Linked DNA regions of Xenopus tropicalis. The protein of the gene in region 1 interacts with the protein of each later gene in a pairwise test. Links are inferred from orthologs where the notes say so. Each region holds a gene or a part of one and is shown on either strand. Other genes may lie near its edges. The genes, in order: epm2a, ppp1r3c.1 and ppp1r3d.

Evidence for each region.
Region 2: the proteins of epm2a (region 1) and ppp1r3c.1 interact in binary tests that used the Homo sapiens proteins (3 or more experiments, as listed by UniProt). The link is inferred for Xenopus tropicalis from reciprocal best matches to the Homo sapiens genes EPM2A and PPP1R3C.
Region 3: the proteins of epm2a (region 1) and ppp1r3d interact in a two-hybrid assay, tested with the Homo sapiens proteins (2 studies listed by BioGRID, with this or other methods). The link is inferred for Xenopus tropicalis from reciprocal best matches to the Homo sapiens genes EPM2A and PPP1R3D.

The regions. Positions count from the first base shown.
Region 1 is NC_030681.2:45,974,519-45,978,700, forward strand, and holds the start of epm2a (laforin), read right to left. Parts: upstream 2,899-4,182; 5' UTR 2,801-2,898; intron 1-2,800. UniProt on the Homo sapiens protein: Plays an important role in preventing glycogen hyperphosphorylation and the formation of insoluble aggregates, via its activity as glycogen phosphatase, and by promoting the ubiquitination of proteins involved in glycogen metabolism via its interaction with the E3 ubiquitin ligase NHLRC1/malin.
Region 2 is NC_030683.2:37,168,079-37,172,188, forward strand, and holds the start of ppp1r3c.1 (protein phosphatase 1 regulatory subunit 3C), read right to left. Parts: upstream 2,878-4,110; 5' UTR 2,869-2,877; coding exon 1,927-2,868; 3' UTR 1-1,926.
Region 3 is NC_030686.2:3,513,435-3,517,049, forward strand, and holds ppp1r3d (protein phosphatase 1 regulatory subunit 3D), read right to left. Parts: upstream 2,185-3,615; 5' UTR 1,766-2,184; coding exon 878-1,765; 3' UTR 564-877; downstream 1-563. Other genes in the region: protein FAM217B, read left to right, coding at 3,042-3,044. UniProt on the Homo sapiens protein: Seems to act as a glycogen-targeting subunit for PP1. PP1 is essential for cell division, and participates in the regulation of glycogen metabolism, muscle contractility and protein synthesis.

The DNA.
Region 1 (4,182 bases):
TCAGGTCAAAAAAATGAAATGCAACCACAACCTGCATGTCATCCAGCTTACCTTATTAAAGGAACAGTAACACCAAAAAATGAAAATGGATTAAAGAAATTAAACTATAATATACTGCTGCCCTCAACTGGTTAAAGTTGTGTGTTTGCTTCAGAAACACTACTAGAGTTTATATAAAAACCCTGGTGTGTAGCCATGGGGGCAGCCATTCAAAAGGAGAAAAGGCACAGGTTACATAGCAGATAACAGATAAACCCTGTAGAATACAATGGTGTCTTATCTGTTATCTGCTATATAACTTGTGCCTTTTATAAACAATAGTAGTGTTCCTGGAGCAAACACACTAGTTTTACCAGTGCAGGGTAACAGTAAATTATATTTAATTACTTTAAAACACTTTTGGTGTTACTTTTGGTGTTACTGTTCCTTTAATGGGATGGAGACACTCCTGTTAAACCTGGGATATCTCAATATCCTTTTAAATCTTTTAAAAAAAAAGATCTCCAATGGCATATAAAATAACTTTGACACTATACGCTCTACAAAACAATGAACTAAATTAAAACAACAGCTATCTCCAGTTAAGGTTGCATTCCAAATGAACCCGGGACATTTCTTGTTTGTATAACTTAGGGCCTCTTACTAAACTCTGGTGACCTTAAATGTTGTACAAATTGCCAAAAGGCAGCCTATGGGTCTTTGCTTTACTACTCTTCAGTGGAACACAACACCAGCTGTCTACCCACTCTGCGCTACCTCTTTATACTACATGGGATCTGGCAAATCCTTCATTAACAAGTAACAGCAACATAAAAAAGTGTTGCAAAGTAATTGAAATATAATGTACTGTTGCCCTGCACTGATAAAACTGATCTGTTTGCTTCCAAAAAACTACCATAGTTTATAAAAAAATCTTCTATGCAGCAATGGAGGCAACTGAAATAGGGCTAAATGTCACAGATATATAGCAGATAACAGATAGGTTTTGTAGAACACCATTATATTCTGCATAGCATATCTGATGTATCCTGAGCCTTTTTTTCCTAGAAATGGTTGCCCCCATGGCAGCTGATTTATATATATACTATAGTAGTCTTTTTGAAGCAAACACACCGATTTCAGAAATACTACCGTAGTTTATATAAATAAAACAGCTGTGTAGTCAAGAGGAGTAGCTATTCAAATTAAAAAAAAAAGAGAAAAGGCACTGGTTACATAGCAGATAACAGATAAACTGTGTAGATTCCCATCCTATAGAGCTTATCTGTTATGTAACTTGTGCCTTTTCTCCAGTTTGAATGGCTATTCTGTGGCTATGCAGCAGCTTATTTATTAGCAAGGATTCACTAAGGGCTCTGGCACACTGGGAGATTACAAATCTCCCCGAAATGCCATCCCACCGGCGATTTACATTTTCGCCGGTGGGATGGTATTTCGGGAAGATTAGTCGCCCGCGAACAGGGAGATTTGTCACTGCCAACTAATCTCCCCGTGTGCCAGAGCCCTAAGGCCTCCTTACTCAAGTTCTCTACTGCACTGCACATGCATTACAGGGAATTGCATTTTCCTGCCTGCCAACTTTAGCATTACCAGTGCAAGAAATGTATTAATAGCGTCTCCTGAGAAAGTATTTGTAAATCTGTATAATTCTAACACCCTATGACATGTTAGTTGATATCTCTGGAAACTGACTGAGCAATTATTCCATGCTACACAGCGGACACAAGTAGGGTGGAGAGCGGGGAACAGTATTAGTAAAAAGAAGGGAATGTGAATGGGGAAACTGTTGACTGTGTGTGGCCCAGAGAGCCCCAGGGAATTAAATGCATACATGACAATGTTATATTTTAAAGTAAAGGTGGCCATACACACGACCGTACGATAATCGGTAAGTGACAAGATGAGGCGACTGGTATCGGCAAAGGCCTTGGATATCGGTCATCTCGTCAATCTGGCCATTGAAGACATCTGAGAACCGGCAAACGTTTAATACTGAATCATAAGATGGGGGTAGAATTGTTTTGTTTCTACCTGCATATCTGACGATTCAGCTCTGAGCTTTAGTGTAGTCTACAAATGATTTTGCTGCGACCAAGATAATAATTGTAATGCAATTGGCCACCATAAGGGTGAGGACACACATAGCTACTTGTGGCAGCTACATGTTATGGCTACAAAAGACAATGCTGATAATTTACTGATAATTGTCTCTATATGTGTTTTAGCAGAGGCAATTCTCAGTATTGTCTATGGCAGGGTATTTTCTGGCATTATGTAGCCATGACAAGTAGCTGCTACTAAGTAGCTCCATGTGTCTTTACCCTAGAACCCTATGAAAAGTTCATTAAAGTGGATTGTGCTGAATTTGTTCAGAGCCACATTATGTTTTTTTCATATCTTTTTCTGATGCCAGGGGCTAGCTAGTTTCATGGTTAATGGTGGCTGGTTCAGGTAAGTTCAATAATATAGCTCTAAATTGTGTTTTGACATTATTGAACAAGGTATAATGACAATACAATTAATACTAGAGTTGCAAGCTTACCTCTATAAAACCATATACTTTCCACTTGACTAGTAGCCATAATTAAGATACTGCACTCATTTGTCTGCAATCTGCAGAATGCATTTTAACAAGTGTGCCAAAAGTATATGTCAAAGGAAAGAGGGGGCAACAAAAGCTTATTACCTTGTATATTTCTGAATGATTATAACTGTACTTAATAGATGTGTTGTTAATCTGTATCAGACATTATTTCATTGTTGCAGTTTGAAAGAATAAAATCCTGCAATACAACCTCACCTTAGTGTGCAGATCTAGTAAGGCCTTGAGGATTGCCCGTCCTTGTATAGCCTTCCAAGGCACTGTCTGCATTACTGAATTACAGATCTGTGCAGTCGTTAATCCCTCCTTCTCTGTGATGCAGACAGGGAGGGCAGAATCTGCAGCTTAAAATAACGCAAGCAGGACAAGGGTTCCCTTAACCTGCTTTTACTGAAAACTAAATAGCAGCAACTGCATTTTTCTACAAAACCTATGGCATCAGATTGTGTGAGGATTTTTTTTTCTAAAAGCTTTATTAAGACAGGAACACTGTGATACACTGAATTAAAGAAAAAACTATTGCCAGAGAAATGCTAAATATGTGGGGCCTTCAGTTGTAGTGTAACTGCTGCTGAATTATGGTATAGGTGTAGGATCTATTATCCAGGATGCTTGGGACCTGGGGGTTTGGGAACTTTTCATAATTTGGAGAACCATTCCTTTTATGTTAAGTAAACATAAGGATTGTTTTTTCATCTACATGAAAGTACTTTACTACTATTAAAAAGAAAAAAAAATCAGTGAAATAACTGTTTGTCACTCATTGGGGGCTCTAAAGATGGCCAGACACAGGCAGATTTACACTGCTGATTTGGACCCTAAACCTATGGGGCCCTTCAACCATCTTTCTGGCTTTGACCCGACAGCCTGCTTTTTCAAGGGGTTGTCTGGGTCAAATGCCTTCTGCCCTGTTTGCAACATTCTGAAAACTGGGTGGAAGTCCTCCAGTTTGTGTACGGTGGACATCATCATGCTACCAAAAACGTCATAACATGGTGATATTGGCTCCACAAGATGCCAATGTCATCACGCACACTCCCTTTATCCGAGTTTATCACCCGGCAAAGGTGGCAACCCTAGACAGGCTTGCCTGCTGCTCCCATGCTGCTTATCTCTCTGCCTGGCTCAAGTAAAAAATCTAAGACGGATGTGCGTTCCACAGTGGGATTTAAGGCACAGTTAGAAGCCTCTCTGAGACAGCTGTAAAAAGTGATCCCTTCGGAGCTCAGGGTTAGAGCAACAAGCTATAAAGGATAGCAACTATCTGAAGGGTGCTGCTTCAAGCCCAGCTTGTTGGTGTTGACAACCCTAATGCTTACACGTGTTTATATCCGCATTTGCCTGTGCTGATACGTCTACTAAATGCATGTTGCAGGGCTGCACTGATCGCATGTAAGTTAAATTGCTATCAGGACAGTATATTTGGCTGGATTTTTTAGACACAGCTCTGAATTTTCAAGTGTTCTGGTATACAATAACTAGGTGCCATGTTTGCAGGAAACCAATTTATTGGCAAAGCCCATAAAGTTGCAACTTACATAAATATATAACTAGGGGACTGCTTAAGTAGAGAGTATAAA
Region 2 (4,110 bases), on another chromosome or scaffold:
TGATTTCGTTTCACACATTGGATACAGCAATATCCAATTAATCTTTATCAGTTTTAAAAAGCATCACAGTTCATTTCACAGTCAAGAACGCTGCTCATTTTTTTCATTCTGACACCAAAAAACAATATTGTCAGCTTACGAAGGTACTGTACATCAAAAAATACACATTTAAGCCAGTTACAAAATAGAAAAATACACTGCTCAGCTATTTCATGTAAAAAGTGCAAGAGTTTCTATTGAGAGAAAAAGGAAGAATAGAGAAAATAAAACATAATTCTCTGCGCCATAAAGGTATTTCATAAAAAGCTGTCATTACTCTTCAGAAGGAAAATAAGGTTTGACTATCTGATGTGCAAAAATATCGACTACAATCATTTCATCCTTTAAGGAACCTACAATTCTATCAAATACCAAATTCACATATAAAGGTGCAAAAGCGATTTGCGTTACCTTCAATATGAAGGAAATTGAATTTTCTGACTTCTGTAATTATCTCAAAAAACATAGAAGACAGGGAATATTACAGATTGCTTACAAACAAGTGCATTTTTTTTTACAGGGCAGGGAGAATGAGGGTATTATTATCCTGAAAGGTTGCTCCTTATTTACACATAACACTAAAATGTTGGACATCTGGTAATCTTCCAATATAATACATCCTTTGTTTTAGGTTTGCCAGAGCCCAGTGGGCCAGAGTGGACAGATGCATTGCATGGCACTATGTTGTACACACCTCTAGCATCAAGTGGGATCAAGAGTGGGAAGGGAAATAGTTCAGAAATTGACAATATATAAGGGATGTAGTGTAACTATGCAGTTTGGTTTTGCAGTTTACTAAATGGCACAGCATTGCTACTGACTATTTTATATTCAGGAAACCTACAATTCTGTATTAAAGGGGTTTTTGGCAATCTTTTAGAAAAGGCACTTTTTACAACATCAAAGCAGATTTGTTGGGATAGCTTAAAGCAACATTGCAGGGCCCTCCCTTACCAAAAAAAGTGCACTGGATTGGTTAGTGCATTTAGACTTTCTGTACTCTTGCCTCCAATGCAAAATTATTCATTCTTTAGTCACATCCATAAAAATTTTGATAGGGATGTCCAAAGTGTGATACATTGGTTGCTGTTGTATTATTTAGTGGAAATTATAGTATAACAACAGCTACAAGGATACCAGTTGCACATCTCTGAGCCACCTTGTATGATCTTACATTATTTAAACTGAGTCTGTGAAAGGTTTTAAAAGTCCAGCTTTTAAAATGAAACCTAACACTACTTTCCGAAGTGTATGGTGCGTTTCGCGCTTACTGGCAGGTCACTAGAAATACATGATAGCAACTCAAACATCATTATGTAAGTATTGCATTGACAGTCTCTTTGTATTTTCAGCTTTTCAACCTTCAGGGGTTGTATCGTTAGCCATTTCGTACCATAAATTCATCCTAAAACACATATCTGCAAAACTCCTTAGGGTGTCTAAGTATTTACTTATAATAGATATACCATGACCTGGATGAATGAAAATCTTCATTGTCATATCCTTAGGGTGTCCTGAATTCTATCCGATGCCCTCTTTGTAAGAACTATCCTCATATGGGTTACTACAAGCTGCTGTGTTTATAGCTCATCATATTAGCCTTACACAAATGTATATTCTGTGTATATGACTAACGCCAGAGATTCAGCTGGCATCAGCACTGAGCGCTCTATTTCTATGGTGGACAAAGGCAGTACATATGGTGTTTTGACAACGTGCTTGTGAAAAGCGTACTGTCCTAAGCTATGGCTGTGAACATATAGCTATCAGCTTTCCTTACACTGTTACTTTATTTGAAGAATTTCATTTGTTTGTTTGCAAATGATGTCTCATCAGCACCGAGATGTCTCGATGAGAATGAATAAAGCAGAACATCAACAATGTTCTTCACCAGTAAGGTGATCCTCCTATTTTACCCCAACTTTGCCATTCGGGGTACAGACCAGCAGATGTTCTGGGGCTGCCAAACTGATCAAAGTCATTGTTTTGTGGTTTCTTCTTATAGTCATATGATGCAATCTCTGTTTTAGTTGGGGTAGGTGTGTGCACACCATCTGATTTCCATTCTGCACGTGTCACTGAGTAGTTCAGTCCATCATTGTTGTCCCAGAAGACCTGCCCTTCACTTTCATAGGATATACAAAATTCGATTTTCTCATGACTGGGAATGTTGGGGGGTATGTCAATGACGAAGGAAAATGTGTCACTGTCAGTGCTTCCATAGACGTTGTTCATGTAGACACAATCAACATCTACAAATGATTTCCAGGTGTTGAAGGTGATACGAATCTTGACAGATTTCTTGTAGCTCAGGTTTTTTACTTTGACAGTACCTGCAACAGATCTTTCCTGAAGGCTGCAATTTTCTAGGCAGACTAAACTCTTCTGAAGGCGATTGCGAAACTGCAGATAATCAGCTGAAGGCTGAGTGAATCCCAGTATCAAGTTCTTCTCTTCATGCAGCTTTAAACTGGCTGTTATATCTTCTAGGTCTATCAGGTCAAACTGAAGATCTAATGAAGATTCATCCTTAAACTCTGAGAAGACATGCACCGAAGTTAAGGAAAGTCCTTTGGAATCAGCAAAGATGACCTTCTTTTTGTTTCTAGACTTTGAGCGGTTCCACTCGTTGCTCCTGAAATCAGATTCCTTTTTCAGACTGAGGCATGGTCTTAGTGGCTTATATCGGTTCACAAAATTTCTTCCCCTGCAATCAGGGGGACTGAGAAATTTTTTTAGCGGTGGAGAATGTGCTAGGCATATCCTAACTGCCACATCTACAGGCATTATGGATCGTGGGAGAGAGCGGGGTTCCAAAATCTGTATCATTCTGTAAAGAGATAAAACCCATAGATAAAATTATGTTTTTGGTCTACAATGTGCACATACTCACAAACATTTAAGAATATATTGTCTGAGCTACCCATTTAAAACTATTCTGTAATGAAACCATGAACTGCGTCACATAAAAAGGAATATCTGCCTAGAGGAGATAATAGATGCGTTGCAGTGCCCCCTTATGGTCTTTAATTGTCAAAATAAAAAACGTCTCATTGTATGCAAAGTTATTTATTTTAAAACAGTCAGTTGTATATTATGGTATTGAAGTCTACATCATTAGTATCAATATTTCTATTAATATTGATAGCCTGTCATGACTTAATAACATGTACAATCATTAAATAATGCTGTGACTTATTACTGTAAAATAAGCTTGAAATTACATTACATTACATTAACATTTATTTATAAAGCGCCAACATATTCCGCAGCGCTGTACAATAAGTGGGTTACATACATTGGACATACAGAGTAACATATAAAGCAATCAATAACCGATACAAGAGGTGAAGAGGGCCCTGCCCAAAAGAGCTTACAATAAGATACTGTCTACTTTAAATCCTTATAAATAAATTCTTTGACATGCTTGCTGGGATAAATGACTCTCAGTCCTGCAAATTATTTGTGTATCTTGAACTCAAAGAACCTACATGTCCATGGAAATAATTTATATACATATCATTTTAACCTTCAACAAACTCAGTACAGAAGAACCTTCAAGTATAATGGTATATATTTCAGAAATCTTTCAACTCTTTAAACACATCAATTCGACTATATCAAGGGATGGCACTTGACCATATATCTCAGACATCACTGTATTCTGCTCATTCCCTACAAAGGCTAAGTTTTACCCATTGTGCTGCACTTTGCAGGTTCTGTAGTAGAACAGAAATCACAGAAAGCCCCCATGCAACTTTGTCTGATAGTTCTGCTTGCAGCAGACTGAGCTGCCCACATTAAAAAGTGTGTGGTTAATGCTAAACTACAAATCCCAGCAGCTCTAGAAAAGACCTTATGCATAGATGCAGGAGACAAGCTGGCAATTTCTAGTATATATAAAGCTTAAAACCACTGATACAGAATTGGGGTCAGTAAGAACCATAATCCCTTTACCATCAATCATACAAATGGACTTCAGTGTATGCAATCACTATTAAACGTAAAATATACATGCATTAGGCATTTCCCTTTGCATTATTACACTTTTTATATTTAATTATAAACCAT
Region 3 (3,615 bases), on another chromosome or scaffold:
TTAGCCTCCAGTATAACAGGGGTTAGCCTCCAGTATAACAGGGGTTAGCCTCCAGTATAACAGGGGTTAGCCTCCAGTATAACAGGGGTTAGCCTCCAGTATAACAGGAGTTAGTCTCCAGTATAACAGGAGTTAGCCTCCAGTATAACAGGGGTTAGCCTCCAGTATAACAGGGGTTAGCCTCCAGTATAACAGGGGTTAGCCTCCAGTATAACAGGAGTTAGTCTCCAGTATAACAGGGGTTAGCCTCCAGTATAACAGGGGTTAGCATCCAGTATAACAGGGGTTAGCCTCCAGTATAACAGGGGTTAGTCTCCAGTATAACAGTGGTTAGCCTCCAGTATAATAGTGGTTAGCCTCCAGTATAACAGGGGTTAGCCTCCCAGTATAACAGGGGTTAGCCTCCTAGTATAACAGGGGTTGCCCTAATGGAAGATGTAGATTAAAAAAAAAAATGTAAAAAGGGACGCCACAAGTTTTTGATATTATGTTCAGCCTGCAAGCTCCCAGCATCAGTCAATCAACTGCTGATGGGATGCTGGGGGTTGCAGTCAACAGAATGAACATCCCCAAGCAGATTAGAACCCATTTTTTACTTCCCCCCATTTGCCTTGAAAGATCAAGGGCTGTGGGCCATACATGATTGGTTTATATAATTTTCCCCCCATTCTTCCAGTAATTCAAGAGTCCACCCCTTACTCCAGGCCTGTGGCCTAGGACTACATGTAACTTGCCCCTTTGGCATTAAACACCAATGCCTCTTTCACGTCTAGTTTCCAGCCATACCTTACTGAGTGTATTAAGGTTTCCCTGACCCCCCCATAGAATATCTCGTTTGCTTTTGCATCAGTAGGAACAGCATGGCGGTGCCGCCGGATCAGATGAAGTGAATCCAGCTCTGCTCGCTGTCCTTTGGCATTCGGAGAGTGTGGCTCCTGTATGTGAAGGTGTAGTTCTTGCCCTGGTTGTTATCCCAGTACTCCTTGCCGGCGACCTGATATCTGATGGCAAACTGTATCACGGAGCAAATGTGCTGGAGGAAAGGGGGTATAGGAATGGTGAAAGTGAATACGTCCCAGCTGCTTTCCTCTGCGCTCTTCTGCCACACTGCCTTTGCCTCGTAATAGTTTTTCCAGTTGGTGAACGAATACCTGACCGAAAGGTCCTTCTCAAAGGCCAAATTGACGACCCAGACGGTGCCGGAGATGCCCTTCTCGTCCGAACTCGCCACTCGCTCCAAGCACACGCACTCTTGCTGCAGCCGATCCAAGAAATCGCCCCTGTCTTTCGGCTGCTGGAAATCAGGTTCCAGGTACTGGATGGAGACTTGTAGCTCTTGGCTGCAGCACAGGTCTGAGTTGATGGAGAGCCTGGAGAGGACATGCAGCGGGATGGATGGATCATCTGCGGAACTGAAGACTTTAACCTCTGCCAACTCCAGACCGAGAGAGTCGGCAAACCTGACTTTGTGGCATTTGGGCTGGCATTTTATGGCACGCTTCCTTTCTGGGGAACTAGGCAGAGATTTGGTTCTCCGCCGCATAATAGGTCTCAGTTCTGGATCGCAGCCGGTGCTCTGGGCTCGAGGAAGCCGATTTGCCCCTTCGGCGGCCCGTATGAATTTTGTACCTGGTCCCCCAAATGCCTCTGCCAGCTGTGCATTCTGGTACAGATTATTAATGTAACTCAGGCTGCGAGGGATGCTGAGCTCCACTTTCTGCTTATAGCTCTGGGGCATTATGAATGGGGGGAGCTTGTAAGACATGTTTGTATAGGACGACTCTCTGATTGCACACAGCACTCCTGCTTTTCAATGGCTTGCCTGCAGCAGCTTCATTTGCCAGGTTTGACTTCACAGAACTCCAAAGCCTCCCTAATCTCTCATTAGCAAAGCAGGAAGACGGACGCACCTTTTTATAATCCCAGGGTCACCAACAGGAGTCCATGGGAGGCACTGCTGCCAGGGGCATTCTTCTGGCGCTGCCTTTCACCACTCCCATCTTGCACTGCAAGCAGAACAATCAGAACCTGTGCCCCAGCCTGGCACAAGCAATCATGTGGGCGATTGGGTGACATTGTTGCACAGTGCTATAATTGCAGCAAGCTTACAGATGCATGTCGCAGCGAGAGCCACAGCTTCCCCCACTCTGCCCTTTGCCTGTGTCTGTGTGTGTAAAGCCAATACAAAAGGGTTTCCTCTGCTGTCATTCGTTGTCAGCAGGGACCAGAACGCCCATTCTTGTGATTGGCCAAGACTCCACTCACTCATTCAGTTCTGCACTTGCCCTTTGTTGACAAGGCAGCAGCAGTGTTGTAGAGAGAGGAAACACCAGTGTGTGTGTGTGTTCCATAGGAATCAAGTGCAGTCGTGTCAGAAGCTGATACATTGTTTTTATTGAAGAAGCTGATATATTTTATTAAATGTAGTGCAGTGATCACTACATCAGTGTGAGTGGCATAAAACACTCAAGGAACGGAGACTGGCACGCCATGGGTTTCATCCCTGAAGGGGATTAATGGTTTGGACTGTCTGTTTTTCCATCAACAGCAGCTGCACGTACACGTATGCCTATGCCTTTTGACATTTAAATCTATTTATGGCAGCTGTCCGCAGCTACTTTCATGCTATAAATGAAAATGGTAACAGGATTACATGGAGCAACGGTGCCTTTAGCCTGGGAGTTGTGACCCATGATGCTTTGCAGCGGCCATGCCAATCCAGTACCTGCGAGGATGGACAGGAGGAGCCAACCCTTCTATTTACTCCCATCACATCAAATTTCACCAGTGACATCAAGAGAAATAGTGTCAGGGTGACTGTAGCCAACGGAGACGGCCAGGGGAGCAGTATTAAAGCTGCCGATAGAGCAGCCTCTGTATTCATCTTGGAACAGGCATTGTAAAGGCAATGGGGAGAGGAGGTGCCATTCCAGCTTATAAATAGGAACGAGCCAATGGGATAATGTCTCATCTCTAGGAGGATTTCCAGCGTTTGCCTCGCCACGTTTTACAACGAGAAAGACCATGAAAACAACACAGTTATGGTAATGTAAGGAATTGGGGTCTTGTTTCTGTGCCAGTGTGTATTCTTCTAAATAAGATTGTGCCATTCCCCTGCAGCGCTGGGACATTCATTCATTCATTCACCGCTTCAGGCTGGGTATAAATACGCACTTTTTCTCATGAAAGCCGAGGCTGAAGCAATTACCCCATCTAAACATTCTGTTGTTGTGCATTTAGCTAGGGCAGTATAATTACTATATAATTACTGAAGGTAAATACAGAGCCTGCTGCAGTATTTGCTTATGTACATCCTTATTTTACTATAATGAGAAAGGTACCTGGAAACCTTGTGTAGTTTTACCTTCCCTACTGCATCAGGCTGCATAATGTACACGGCTGGACACTACAATAGCCCAAATATTGACATTTTATCTTTGTAAGCTCATCATACACGGAAGGCTCTTTTTGATGCTGCTGGATGATTTACTTGGCTTATTTAGACACCCACAAGGTTGGCAAAGTCTAAAGCCGGCCATACATGCATTGATTTTATCGTAGGAAACCTAGTTTTGTACAATTTTCCAAACTGGATAATTCTCGTACAATGGCGAT